Callithrix jacchus: one gene and its partners. The protein of the gene in region 4 purifies or fractionates together with the protein of the main gene of each other region. This does not show direct contact. Links are inferred from orthologs where the notes say so. Each region holds a gene or a part of one and is shown on either strand. Other genes may lie near its edges.

The links.
Region 1: the proteins of CD9 (region 4) and IGSF8 purify together in Homo sapiens (affinity purification with mass spectrometry; 5 studies listed by BioGRID and IntAct, counting the BioPlex papers as one, with this or other methods). This does not show direct contact. The link is inferred for Callithrix jacchus from reciprocal best matches to the Homo sapiens genes CD9 and IGSF8.
Region 2: the proteins of CD9 (region 4) and ITGB1 purify together in Homo sapiens (co-immunoprecipitation; 5 studies listed by BioGRID and IntAct, with this or other methods). This does not show direct contact. The link is inferred for Callithrix jacchus from reciprocal best matches to the Homo sapiens genes CD9 and ITGB1.
Region 3: the proteins of CD9 (region 4) and PTGFRN purify together in Homo sapiens (co-immunoprecipitation; 8 studies listed by BioGRID and IntAct, with this or other methods). This does not show direct contact. The link is inferred for Callithrix jacchus from reciprocal best matches to the Homo sapiens genes CD9 and PTGFRN.

What each region holds. Positions count from the first base shown.
Region 1 is NC_133519.1:20,039,918-20,042,645, reverse strand, and holds part of IGSF8 (immunoglobulin superfamily member 8), read left to right. Parts: exon of another isoform or gene 1-465; intron 466-811; coding exon 812-1,189; intron 1,190-1,869; coding exon 1,870-2,331; intron 2,332-2,702; coding exon 2,703-2,728. UniProt on the Homo sapiens protein: Member of the immunoglobulin superfamily (IgSF) that links tetraspanin-enriched microdomains to the actin cytoskeleton and plays several important roles in innate and adaptive immunity.
Region 2 is NC_133508.1:32,606,068-32,609,791, forward strand, and holds part of ITGB1 (integrin beta-1), read right to left. Parts: intron 2,233-3,724; coding exon 2,092-2,232; intron 1,932-2,091; coding exon 1,732-1,931; intron 228-1,731; coding exon 1-227.
Region 3 is NC_133508.1:154,991,482-154,995,205, forward strand, and holds part of PTGFRN (prostaglandin F2 receptor negative regulator), read left to right. Parts: intron 1-2,833; coding exon 2,834-3,139; intron 3,140-3,724. UniProt on the Homo sapiens protein: Inhibits the binding of prostaglandin F2-alpha (PGF2-alpha) to its specific FP receptor, by decreasing the receptor number rather than the affinity constant. Functional coupling with the prostaglandin F2-alpha receptor seems to occur.
Region 4 is NC_133510.1:19,806,026-19,810,189, forward strand, and holds the start of CD9 (CD9 antigen), read left to right. Parts: upstream 1-1,247; 5' UTR 1,248-1,349; coding exon 1,350-1,415; intron 1,416-4,164. UniProt on the Homo sapiens protein: Integral membrane protein associated with integrins, which regulates different processes, such as sperm-egg fusion, platelet activation and aggregation, and cell adhesion.

The sequences.
Region 1 (2,728 bases), on a different chromosome or scaffold from region 4:
GTGCCTCCCTACAGAAAGAGAGCCATATTTGTAAATGAATGCATACTATATGCAAATGAACACTTTGTTAAGGAACTGGGGCAGGCGCCTTGTGTGTCTGCTGGGCTAGCCAGGAAGGTTGGCAGGCACTGGAGGAGGGGATCTTCTGCCCCCAGTGCCAGGGCAGAGTCTGGATCTTCCTCCAGAAGCCCCAGCTGCCTGGGCAGCCCTGCAGGGTGAGAGAAGCAGTGAGCTCATGGCACAGCTGGAGGGGGGAGGGCATTGTATGGTGAGAACTGACTGGGTCTGTGCCCTTTCCAGCTAGGGCCACTGGCTCCATTGTCTAGCCCAGGTGACAAGCTGAGCCAACTAGCCCTTCTGAGCAAGACTGCCAGCTCCCCTCAAGCAAAGGAGGGAACATGTAGTCTCAGAATCCCCCAGCCAGAAGGCTCCCCTGACCAGGAGGAAGGAATGGTAGACATGGAGGTAGGTGAATGGCAGGGACAGATCAAGGTTCAGTTGGAACCAAGGCCTGGTTAGGTCAGGAATCAGATGTACTCCTTTCTGCCTTCAGGCGCTCTGCTTCTAGTCTGCCAGAAATGGGATGCATCTGGGTGCCAAGGCAATCCTGGGCCCATACCACCTCCTCGAGACCCAAGTGTCTTATATCCCAGCATCTGTTTCCTGTTCTCAGAACAGGGTCCAAGCTGTGGACCAACTTTTCCAGGTCTCCTTTCCTTTTATAGGCAGAAGTCAAGAATGGTGCTTGTGGTGGCAGAGGGCATAGAATGGGGAACCAGGCATCTCCAACTCCTTTTGTCTTTCCCTACAGGAATGGGATGCTGGGCCCGGCAGGTGCTGGTCCCTGAGGGGCCCTTGTACCGTGTGGTTGGAACAGCTGTCTCCATCTCCTGCAATGTGACTGAATATGAGGGCCCTGCCCAGCAGAACTTTGAGTGGTTCCTGTACAGGCCCGAGGCCCCGGATACTGCTCTCAGTATTGTCAGTACCATGGATGACCAGTTCCACTATGCGATCTTCAAGCCCCGAGTGCTGGCGGGTGAGGTGCAGGTGCAGCGCCTACAAGGGGATGCTGCAGTGCTCAAGATTGCGCGCCTGCAGGCCCAGGATGCTGGCATTTATGAGTGCCACACCCCCTCCACTGATACCCGCTACCTAGGCAGCTACAGCGGCAAGGTGGAGCTGAGAGGTACTAGGCCCTGGAACAGGGTGCGGCCACACACCCTCTCAAGGCAGGAGGGACACAAGTGACCTATCTAACTGCCCCTTAGGTTTTGTAGCCAAGGAACTCGACGCCCAAAGAGGTTAAGTGACTTGCACAGTCACCCAATAACTCAGTGGCTGGTGTGGGACTCAAACCCAGATTTCCTCACTCCAGGCCAGTGCTCTTCTGATTATATCAAGCCCCCTTCTGGAAGAAGAGCCATCCAGTCCCCTTTCCATTCCCAAGAATGAGGAAGACTGATGGGTTGAATAGACTCTACTGGACAGTACAGGACCCAGATCTGGGAAAGAGCGTATTTAGGGAAGGAGTCAGGCCATGTGACATTCTCACTCTTTTAAGTTTCTTTGTCTCCTGGAGAAGGAAGACAAAGCCACTTTTCTTGGTATTTCAAACAGGGGTCAGTCTTGAACGTAAGGGTGAGTAGGCGATGGGCTGGTTCTTTGAAATTCAGCAAGTATTTATTGAGTGCCTGTGATACGCCCAGCACTGCGCTTGGCACCACTGAGTTACAGAAGAAATAATACAACATGCGATCTTTGCCCTCTGGGAGCTCACAGTCTATTTAGGGAGATCGGCCCTGAACAGGAAGTAGTAACAAGGGCTGCCAGCCCCCAGCCCTCCCTCACTCCAGCTCTTCTCTCCAGTTCTTCCAGATGTCCTACAGGTGTCTGCTGCTCCTGCAGGACCCCGAGGCCGCCAGGCCCCAACCTCACCCCCACGCCTGATGGTGTATGAGGGGCAGGAGCTGGCACTGGGCTGCCTAGCGAGGACAGGCACACAGAAGCACACACACCTGGCAGTGTCCTTTGGGCGATCTGTGCCCGAGGTGCCAGTTGGGCGAGCAACTCTGCAGGAAGTGGTGGGAATCCGGTCAGACTTGGCTGTGGAGGCCGGAGCTCCCTATGCTGAGCGACTGGCTGCAGGGGAGCTTCGACTGGGTAAGGAAGGGAGTGATCGGTACCACATGGTAGTAGGAGGTGCCCAGGCAGGGGACGCAGGCACCTACCACTGCACTGCCGCTGAGTGGATTCAGGATCCTGATGGCAGCTGGGCCCAGATTGCAGAGAAAAGGACTGTCCTGGCCCACGTGGACGTGCAGACGCTGTGTAAGTGCCACATCCCACTGTGGGAGCTGGGAGGGACAGTATGCTGGTGGGCACTGTGGCCACAGGGGGTACCAGATAGCCGTCATCTGACTCCAAGGAACTTATCTTCTAGAGTGAGCATCCCTGTTAGCATTGCTTCCCGCTCTGCCCTTGATGAGTTTTCTCTGCTCAGTAATTGGTTATAGAGTTAGGAGGGCCATGGGTGAGGGGTGAGATTCAAGCCCCCGAGTAGAAAGATGGTCATACCCCGTGAGAGGCAGACGGGAAGCTTTGAAGCTGCTGCTGTCAAGGAGAAAACACAAAGTTGGGGAATCAGGTGCCTCTTGTCCCCTCCTGCCTCTGTGACACCTCTTCCCCTTCCTGTGTTTTAGCCAGCCAGCTGGCAGTGACAGTGGGG
Region 2 (3,724 bases), on a different chromosome or scaffold from region 4:
AGCCATTGGATCTATCACAGTTGAAATTATCACACTCGCAGAATTTGCCAGAATAAATTTCATTTGTATTATCCCTCTTCCTACAAACACACTGTCCACAGATGCACTCTCCATTGTTACTGCAGATTTCTGAACTGTTTTCTTTCCTGCAGTAAGCGTCCATATCTTCACTGTTGACTTCATCTGTGCTGCATTCACAATGCCTACCAACACGCCCCTCGTTGCACCTGAACAAAGATTCCACAATTGCAATCACACAAAACAAAAATAATTTAAAAGAGAAATACTAGGAGAGGAAATAAAACTACAAAAAATATCTCTGCGAGCTACCAATCTATTAGATGGGATTGTCCATGCCACACATCATAGATGTGTAGTGAAGTGTACACACATGTGCAAGCAAGGACAAATACACAGGCGTGCACATACATCCCAGTCACTCAAGTTTCTACAGAATATATGCAAGAGTCTAGGAAAAAAATTTCTTCAGGAAAGTAACAACTTTGGTGAAGATAAAAATATATCTAGCAATAAATTATGAACAACACATGTGGAAAGGCAAAATAAACAATTTTAGAGTATGTTAGTTACATTTTTAAATGGTATGCTATTACATTTCCTATTCTAGGTGAACTGTCTCTAAATTTAAAACAACAATCTATTAACCTAAAGAAATATAATAAACACATGCAAAAAAGTGTACAGAAGTTGAAGAAAAGTGTACAGAAGCTGAAAAAAACATACTGTGTATACTATTTAAAATATAATATACCATTTAAAAATAAATGTATCCTACAGGTACAGACTTTTCAGAATCCCTGTGTATTTTCAGAACATATAATGCTCACGCACACTGAATGCACTGATTCTGTATCTAGTAAATATACAAGCAAAGAAAGGCAAAGTATTTTCAAGATAACCTTTTTGGTTAAATGACATTTTACTAAAAATGGAACTGGCATGATTCAAACAAGATATGGAAAATTTAAAAATTCTAACATTTAAATTGTTATTCAGCCCAGACACTGAAAAACTCAATAGCCCTTCTAAGCCTAGTCATTTGGGGTTGACACCGGATTAAAACACTCTCCCCTCCTCCTATTCTTTTATGGAGAAGGCTGTATTCAAAGTATACTCAGTTCTTATTTTTCAATTAAAAAAAGGAACCACAGTGTGAAAATAAAATCTGAAGTAATCTTGTTAGTTTTCTTAGTATTAGATTCTACATGCTAAAAATACCATTTTCTCTTTATTTTACAACACATTATTTTTAAAATATTATTCCAACAATACAGAAGTACATATAGTACAAGATAAACATCTTCTATTGCTTTATAATTCCATTTCCCAGATGAAATCATTATCATTGGTTTGATGTTTTTTCAAAACATTTTTCTATAAATGTATTTTATACAAGCTTATTTTGTTCTAGACAATTCAGATTGCTCTCACATGAGGGAAATGCTATGTTAACTATTCGTTGAATATACTTCTTCTATGGCTATAAAAGCTTTTACTTTAAAGAGTAATTAAGCAGAAAAGGCAGGAAGGAGATTCCTATAAATATCACACATAAGATTATCAAACTGATCTTGTGGCAGGCAACCATGGTTAGAAAAAGCATTTGCTCTGAATAGAGAGATATTCTCTGGATGTCCCAAAATATGACCTGCCTCTATGCTCTAAACCAATGTAGCCCTTTCTTCCACTATCTGACAATGACCAGCTTACCTGCATGCGCCACACTCAAACGTCCCGTTTCCTTCATGACACTTGGGACTTCCGGGGATGCCTTCGCTTTGGCATTCACATTCACAGATGTACTGAAGAATAACCTCTACTTCCTCCGTAAAGCCCAGAGGCCTAATTTTAAAGGCGTCAGAATCCTTTTTTGGACATTTATTTGAAGTTATGCTAATTTCAAACTGAACCTTGAAGGGAAAAAAAAAGATCAACAACCAATTAAGCAATTTAAATCTACTAAAAATATTTTAAAAAGCTTCTCACTTAACATTTCTCAAAGTATAAACTAAATTTGCTTATAAATAAGCAATGTTTTCTTTTCTACAGAAAATGCTTTATACAACGTACCTCATCTCCAATGGAAATATTGGAACATTTTCTTCCATTTTCCCCTGTTCCATTCACCCCATTCTTGCAGTAAGATTTGTAACTTATTGTTACTCCTTCTGATAATTTGCTGTTTTCCAAAATGACTTCTGAGGAAAGGGACTAAAAGAATGCCTAATTATATACAGGAAAGTCAACAAAATGCTACTTGAATGCATAAAACCAATGGATAAACTGCTCAGAAAAGAATTATTTCAATAAAATATTTACAGGCCAAATCCAACTGAGTAACTGGAAAACACAGACGCTAGAGAAACAGGTTTTAATTAATAAAGATCCAATCTTCAAAATAAAATACACAATTCAAAGGAGTATTCCTGTTTTAATCACTGAGTTAAAATACTCAGGATCACACAGTACAGAGGGCTGTTATTAATTAGGAGGAGTCTTAAGAATGTGGAATAGGCCAGGCGTGGTGGCTCATGCCTGTAATCCCAGCACTTTGGGAGGCTGAGGTGGATGGATTACCTGAGCTCAGGAGTTCGAGACCGGTCTGGGCAACATGGTGAAACCCCATCTCTACTAAAATACAAAAAAAAAAAAAAAAAAAAAATTAGCCAGGTGTGGTGGCATGCGCCTATAATCCCAGCTACTTGGGAGGCTGAGAAAGGAGAATCGCTTGAACCCAGGAGCCAGAGGTTGCAGTGAGCCAAGATTGGTGCACTCCAGCCTGGGCAACAGAGGGAGACTCCATCTCAAAAAAAAAAAAAAAAGAATGTGGAATAAATAAATGCTGTCTTCCCCACTGGCAAAATGGTGTTTCTGTGGTCCTACCCCTCCAGCTAACTATGGACTAGAGTACACAATCAACAATGCACTCTAGGAACAAATTTGCTTAAGGAACCATTGTAGCCCAGCCAAAAACCAAAAAACAAAATCCCACAAGAAGGAGGGATTCAAGCCAGGGCTTGTTGAAAGTATAAAACTATTCAGGGCAAATGGAGCTGCAGCAGTGGCAAGCTATCTCTTGTTCATACCCCTGAAAAGACAGGAATTAGGAAAATTATCCAAGACCGGGGAGGATGGAAAATCTGTGGAACAAATGAAATCTTAAAAACCTTTGTAAAAACCCCTCTGAATCAGGCCTTTCCAAAGCATTATGGTACCCCATGGCATGAGGTAAAAATGTTTAAAATTCAAGCTGCCAAAGGGTTAGAGGGACGGGGGCTGAAAGTGGCGCATGCAACACACAGGGTTACCATAGTATTACAACTGCCTTCAGATTATTTAAGTGATTATTAATTAAGGCTAACTGGGCACGATTAAAGTATACTGAATTATGTTCAAAAAGGAGAAGCAAATTCCTCTTTAATTTCAATTCAACACCCTCCCATCTGTGGGTAGAAAAAGAACACTATAAATCTTTTTGAACTGGTGAATCATATGTTTATTTACATTTTTACAGAGTTAGTGGTATATGTATATATGAATGTGTATGCTTCCTGAAATAGAAAACTATATCCTTTGAATATATAAGAAGAGAAGAATTGGGGGGAAAAAAAGTTTCTAGCATAGTTCATCAAAATAGATGACTCTATAAAAGATATTTTGGGGAGAAAAAAGATTGGAGAAATCCTGTAAAAGTTTAAATGTA
Region 3 (3,724 bases), on a different chromosome or scaffold from region 4:
CAAATGGGCATAGCTGGGTTTAGTGAAACTTTGTAAAAATAGGTAGTGGGCTAACCTTGGCCTGCAGGCTGTAGTTTACTGACCCCGGGACTAGTTGATTGATACCAAAATTGGCTCCAGTAGGGTAGCTGAACATGGTTGATCTTTAGAGGTGGGAAACAGAAGGAGAATTTGTGGGAGATGTTAGAAAAGGGAAAGAAAGAATCCCGTCTACATCCGTGGGGTTGGTTAGCTCCATTCACAGGGACAAGGAATGAGGAGCTGCTCCTCTACCTGAGATGGGGAAGACTGAGGACACAGAGTAGGATTCAGAGGAGAAAATGAAGGTGAAAGTAGAAGAGACTACCAGGGAAAGGGGAGGAAGATCCTTTTCAAAAGTTGGAAAAATGTAATTTCATGTTTGCCGTTAAAGCTCACTTACGATGCATACAAAAATAAATCCTTTAAATGCTCTTTCTCAGTAAATTAATAGGTCACCAGTTGTGCCCTTAATAGAGAAGTCTTTTCCTCCAGTGTAATTAATTGCAAAAGCTATAGGTAGCTGTTATCTTTCAGATCACAGTTTTCAGAACTTTGCACTCTTGGACTGTGTGGGTGGAAGATTCTGAATTATTAAACACAAGTCGTAATTTAGTTTTTCCTCACACATGCTGTGGGCTCTCAGGGAATGCTCTTTTGTGAAGGACACATTGTGTAAATGATTTGTGGGCCAAGGTGCTCTGTGCGGAGCAGGGGTGGGGACAGCAGACTGTGGCCCTTCTGAGGCAGTGTCTTAGGTCAGATTCTCCCCAGGCCAAGACAGACAAGCATGCGAGTCATGGATTGAGGGAGGGTTCTCAGGAGAACACTGAGGGAGGGAGGGAGGGACTCGAGACGGAGCTGGAGGAGAAGGCAGGTAGAGGCGGGAGCCGGTTCACCTCCCCACGGGGAGCTCTGGAGCGTGAGTGTTCTGCAGGGTAGGCCCACCGGACGGAAGGGGGCTGGGCTTCTCTGCCCCTTCACTAGTCAGTCATTGTCCACAGGCTGAGTGGCCAAGGAGTGAGTGTTTCATAACCTCCGGGGCTGGCTACAGGTGTGTGAGTTTTAACAGCCAGCACCTGCAGCCTAGAGGCTCAGCCTGCCAGCTGCTGTGGACCGGCCACCAGTAGCATTTGCTGCAGGTGGTAATGCCCTTCCCATTAGCGGGTCTCTGTGTAGGAGCATGTGTGTTGAGCTGTGGAGATAATGGTGTTCATGGTGACCAACTTTTATTGAGCACTTATTGTGTTCCAGGTGCTGTTTTAAGCATTTTAATACACGTAGCTAATGTAACCCTGGGTGCTGTCATTTTCATTTTGCAGATGAGGAAACGAAGTCTCAGTGAACTTGGGAAACTCGCCCAGGTCACATGGCTCATTAGTGCTGGTGCTGGGATTCTAGCCCAGGCAGCCTGGCCCTGGAGTCTGGCTCCCACACCCTGAGGTGCAGTGGGGATCAGGGCTTAGAGTCCGGGAACCTGGTTTGGCTTTTTGCCCTCAGCAACCACCCAGCACCTGCAGGTGACAGCAGCACTGAGTTCAGAGTTTTCACGAAGTCATGACAGAGATGCAGGTGTCCACTCTGCCCTTGGCCCTGGGTGAGAGCATGAGGCTATTTACGGCACTTCCTCTGCCCCCAGGGAGCTGGTTTCTTTGGAAAAACACTGGGAGCAACAACAAAAATTATACTCAAGTGCCACGGCGGGTCAACGGGAGGGAAATAAGACGTCCCATCTTTAGAGTGAGCTGACAAGGAATTATCATTTGGATAATTTCTTAGAAATTCTTGCTTTTAGTTTTGCTTACTTTTTTAATATGTAAGCATCTGAAAATAATTTACTTGCCTTAGAATTTGTTTTTTTGAGGCTATTAGTGTATTTTTACTAAATGAATAAATGTTATCTCTTGTTCAGCAAAAATTGTCTTATTTGACATTTATATAAAATGCTTTCTCAAGTGGATTTAAGACAAAACAGTCTTGTGGCTGTTGTCCTTTGTTGCTGGTTGAATCTCAGCCAACACAAGTGATCGTAGTTGGTACCAGTCAAGGGGAGAGGTCAGGGCTTATGATGTGTGCTGTTTTCACATTCTATGAGAATTACCGCTCGTGCCAAAGTCTTCTTCCTCTTATGCCCGTATCAATTTATTTGAGGCTGTTAGAACCTTAGTTTTGCAAAGTACTTTACGATTCAGTATTACTCTCTGGGACTGCTAAACTGTGTTCCATTTTCTCAGCTTGACATTTTTTCCCCTCTTGTTTTGAACTTAAGCACTTCTGCAAGGAAAGAAAAACCATAGTGTACAATAAAAGCTAAACTATTTACAACCCTGTGTTTGGTGCAGTTCGTTTTATGTACATTTCGTTCCATACGACTTTAGCGTCCTTCCAGCGTTGGAATGTCAAAGGACCTGCTTTCTTTGGGAAAGCCTGCAGTCTCCCGTCCTACCAGCTTTCCGATCTGTCTTCTCTGTGGGAGCCAGTTTTTGGCCCCGACTCTTCTTCCTGTGGCCCCTTAGTCTGGCCGGCAGCAGTGCAGTGGTTAAGAGGCTGGGCTCCAGAGCTGTACTCCCTGGGTTAAGCTGCACCTCTGCTACCTGCCGGCTGCATGACCTTGAGCAGGTACCATAGTCTGGTAATAACGGCAGAATAAAGGTATGATAGTGCCTCATCATAGGGCTTTACGAGGATTCAGTGAGACCTGAGGCATGTAGGGCTTGCTTGCCATACGTAGTAAGGGCTGCATACATGACGGCGGCCATACATAGGACTTCTGCCCATTGCACTGACCCCAGGGTTTTGGCTTGCTAATCCATAGATGACATGGCCTTTGATGTGTCCTGGTTTGCGGTGCACTCCTTCGGTCTGGACAAGGATCCTGTGCTCCTGTCTTCCCTGGATCGGAAGGGCATTGTGACCACCTCCCGGAGGGAGTGGAAGAGCGACATCAGCCTGGAGCGCGTGAGTGTGCTGGAATTCTTGCTGCAAGTTCATGGCTCTGAGGACCAGGACTTTGGTAACTACTACTGTTCCGTGACTCCATGGGTGAAGTCACCAACAGGTTCCTGGCAGAAGGAGGCCGAGATCCACTCCAAGCCCGTTTTTATAACTGTGAAGATGGATGGTAAGCATGTCACCCACATTTCTCAGTGTTTGGGAATGTCTTCTCTCTGTGCCAGGCTGTAGCTGACAGAACCCAGGTTGCCACAGTTGGAGGAATGTGCCATAGCATGTCCTGGTTTCTTTGTAGACCTGGCCTGGACCTGCACCCAGAAAGAGCAGCCCTTGCTGTTACCCCAGCTTTGATATTATGTGCTGGTGCCACCATTGAGAAATGGTTTTCAAGACTTACTAGAAAAATTGTCAAGGCTTTGCCTCTACGCTAAATTTATAGAAACCCACTTTACTGTGTCCGAGGGTTATGGATTCTGCCAGGCACAGGCAGAGAGCAGCCTTGAGAGAGATGGTTCAGGTCGATAGCAGAGGCTATAGCTTAGGGACGTGCTACTCTCACTACTACTGGCTTCGCTTCTTAAAGAAAAGAGACTCCACTTGAGGTCACTGTACAGAGTGGGTACTTCTCAGAGCCCCAAGATGGGAGGGTGAGTTCCCAGCCTCACTGACCCATGGTGAATACCAGGGTCGGCCTAACGAGACAGGCAGAGCTTTGTTCCCTGAGCATCCCAGAGTGGGGACAGTTGTTCCTTGG
Region 4 (4,164 bases):
ACTTTGGAGGCCAATGCGGGCAGATCACCTGAGGTCGAGAGTTCAAGACCAGCCTGACCAACATGGTGAAACCCCGTCTAAAAAAAAAAGGCAACTTCATTTTGAAAAAAATACAAAGGGATTCTGAGACTTCAAAATAAGGGGATTCTCCTCGTCCAGTCCAGAGAATCTGGAAAGGAGTGTTTAAAGCCCCACAAAATTTCTACAAGTGCCGCGGGGAGAGCCAGCCAGCCAGGGCGCAGGCCAGCCTGCGCGCGCAGAGCTGGGCACTGTGACCGCCGGGTAGGGGCGGGACTCCGGGTCCGGCAGAAGGCAGATGAGTGCGCTGTATAGGGCCTTGAAGGCAGGACGAGGAATTTCGACTTAGGTCCTTGAATCTGGAGAGCTACAGAAAGTTTTTGAGCTGAAGAGAAACGCTCCGAACTCGGCATCTGGAGCAGTCCAAGGCAGCAAGTCCAAAGACGCAGGAGGGAAGGTGGGGCGAAGGGGTAGAGAGAGAACAGCAGCAGGCGACAAACCCTCTGGGGCCACTAATCCTCAAGTTAAGGAAGCGCTTGGGGACTGCCCAGCCCTCGGCCCTGTTGTTATTCGGTGACAGGTACTTGCTAATTACTTCCAAAAGCCTTCCATCGGTCTACCCACCAGACTGCGCGCTTCTAATTCCTCCTACCCCACGTGCTGTGCCCAACGACAAGTATGGCCAGCGGGCGAAGATTTGCAAGGAGACAGCCGGGGGCGAAATTAGGCCAGGCGGCTTCCCTTTAATCCTCGCAAAGCTTAAGGACCCCTCATTCTGGCAGCCGGCCTCGGGCAAGGGGGCCTTTAGCACATACGACCCGGGGAGAGTCTCTCAAAGTAAAGCGCCGGGCCCGGCGCCCAGACCGAACGCTGGGGAACCGGAAGGGCGAGGCCTCCACAAAAGTGGCCGGTGAAAGTGGCAGGGAGTGGCGGCTGAAAAGACCAAGGCGGCTGGAAGGAGGAGTGGGTGGCGGGTGGTGGGTAGGGCGACTCGGCGGGGCTGTGGGTGAGGGAGGCGGGGAGAGGATCTGGCTCCGCGGGGCGGGTGAGGCCGGGGCCCGCTGGACCTGGGCGGGGGCGGGGCGGGGTGCGGCAGGGGCGTGGCCTGGGGGCGGGAGGCGTGGCCGGCGGGGGGAGTGGGGGCGGCTTTTCCCGGCACATGCGCACCGCAGCGGGTCGAGCGTCCTAAGGAGTGGCACTTTTTAAAAAAGTGCAGCCGAGGCCAGCCCGCAGCCGCCTGCATCTCTGTCCAGCGCCGGGTCCCGCCCGTTCCAGCTGCGCGCGCCACCCAGTCCCGCACCCGTTCGGCCCAGGCCAGGCTAGCCCTCACCATGCCGGTCAAAGGAGGCACCAAGTGCATCAAATACCTGCTCTTCGGATTTAACTTCATCTTCTGGGTAAGTGAGCGCGACTGCCGCGCGCTCATCTCCGGGGCCACCTGTTGGCGGGCCCCGGACACTGGCCGCGGGTGCCGGCAGCTGGCACTGCCCGCACCGGGCAGGCTCCGGGCGGGAAGAGAGAGGCCCCTGCGGCTGCCAGTTGGCTCCAAGGCCGGGTCCGGAGCCGGGCGGGACGGGCGCATTCGGGTGCGGGCTCATCACCGCCCAGCGGGTGTGGGAGCTCGGCCCTCCTGAGTAGGGGCGTGCGGCCAGGTCCTGAGCCCTTTATCGCTCGCCTAGGGTTTGAGCCGGGCTGTGTGTCTCCTCCCAGCCCAAGCCTCTCCGAGTGCCAGAGGGGAAGGCTGGGAGAAGCGGGACACCCCTCCTTAGGCCAAGGAGGATGTAGCGGGCAGTGCGTCTCGTGGCCGGGTGGGGTCTCCCAGGTGGTAGGGGGCGCTAGAAAGGGAGGGTGCGGGCGAGGCGAGAGCTCAGCCAAGAACTGCTCTCACTTTCACACAGGAGCGTAAGGGGTGTCCCGGCGGCGGGTGCGGCCCCTGGACCCAGTCCCTGAGTCAGAGTCAGGAGCCCCTCCGCCCTTGAGGAGGAACCTCGCAGGCCCCCGCGCCCTCAGGAGGATTCTGAGCCGCCGTGAGAGCGCCAAGCTCCCTAGAAGCTACCTGAAAGACTAGCTTGTCTTGATTTCTTTCAAGGGCGATAAGTATCTTCACTGGAGAGAACTCTGAGAGTTGGGGAGAGGACGGGCAGATGCCTATCTGCGCCTCTAGTGGGATGAGTCCTGTGTGTGCATTTCCGGGAGAGATCAGGTGCCAGCCGGCTGCCCTCCCGGGAGGGCCTCAACCTCGTCCCCTCCCCTCCCAACCGGCCCACCCAAGGCCAGGCAGGGCGCAGAGCGGACGTTCATCTCGAGAGGCCAGCGGGGCTGGGAGTTCCAGGGACACCCGCTGCATGCCACTTAGCGTCTACAAATGGAAAGGCAGAGAGGCGACAGAAGCAAGGAATAGGAAACCTTTGTGTCCTTGTTTCTATAGCCACATTCCCTACACACATGTGACAATATTTGCCTCTCTGCAGGCAGGAAAGGGTATAGAGAGGTAGTCTGTGCCACTCTCAAGATGGATGTAGAAACAGGTGCATGCCACCAGAGCCTTGTAACAAAAAAGTGCATTTGGCCAGGCACAGTGGCTCATGCCTGTAATCCCAGCAAGTTGGGAGGCTGAGGCAGGAGGATCGCTTTCATCCAGGGTTCAAGACCAACCTGGGTAACATAGTGAGACCCCCCCCCATCTCTACAAAAAATCAAAAATTAGCTGGGCATGTTGGCACACACGTGTGATCCCAGCTACTCAGGAGGCTGAGATGAGAGGATCTTTGAGCCTGGGAGGCCAAGGCTGCAGTAAGTCATGACTGCACCACTATACTTAGCCTGAGTGACAGAGTGAGCCCTGTCTCAAAAAGAAAAATAAAAGAAAAAAAGTGCACTTATTCCCCCTGGAGCTGGTCACTGAGGTCCCCAGAGCCTCCATAACCAAATGTCCTAAGATTTACTCCTCCCCGGAGCTGAAGGGGTGGTTTAACTTGCAAAGAGTGGCCTGCCCTGGTTCATCAGTCACCATACCCAACACATACCCTAGTGAGGACAGCACACAGGTCTGCTCCAACCGTTGACTTGCTTTAAGGAGACCCTGCTTGCAGTGGGCACCCCCTCCTGTGCTGCCACCCACCCCAGCAGCCAGCCAGGTGCCAGGCTTAGCTTCTTCCTCTTGTCAATCCCTGGTAGCAGAGAACTATGTGGGAAGGCAGCTGGCCTCACCCACCCTGGACCTTTGGGAGTTTTCCTCTCCCCTCCCTGGTACAGTCTCTCCTGCCGGTGTGTTGATTAGTCCTCAGCTGTCTGCCTAGACTGCATCGAGGTTTGGGGCTGTAGGGAAACACAGACGGCCACAGTGTGCCTCCCTCCCCCCATCTGCCCCATGGCTTATGCAGGAAGCTGAGGCAAGGCTCCTAGGGCCACCTGGTATCTGCTCTGTCTGTGGCCTGCTGGCCTGCAATCTGTCCATACTGTCCCCAGCCTGCCACCCTATTTGTATTCAGAACCCCCCGCCCCCAGCCCTGGCGTAGGTACAGCTGGTGAGTTATGGAGTCTGAAACAGAAATCACTCACACTGGATATGTTTGGAATGACTCTGGAGATCGTGCAGTCCAGCCCTCTTATGCATAGTGAGGCAGCAGAGGAAGAGAGACTGGGTGATTTAACCCGGATCACAGAGCCAGTAGTACAACCCCTGGGCCGCCTACTTTACTTCTGTCCTCTTCCATCTTCATCAGAGGCAGGAAGGTGGGCAGTAGCTGTGCTTTCCTGAATTATTGTTCATTTGTCCTGTATCTGGGAGCCTATGGAGGTGAAGCCCTCATCCCCTAGGAAACAATGTAATGAAAAGCTGTTGTGAGTCTACTTCTGCAGTCTTAGTCTTCAGAGTTCTTTCCTGTTCTAGTCCTGTGATGTAGCCAAGAGCAGGAAGCGTTGTCCCTGTGCTGTCGATCAGGAAACCACTCTCCAGAGAGGTTAGGTGACTTTTCCAAAGTGATGGGGCAGGGTGGTCTCAGAAGTGGATTACCTTACCCAACTGGGTTTGGCTGCTGAGTGGGAATGGGAGAAGGGTGGGATGAAGCACCTGAAATTCTCTTAAGGGAAGCTGTAACCCAAGGGAACTGCTTGGTGATTATGTTGTCACCACTTCCGTTTCTC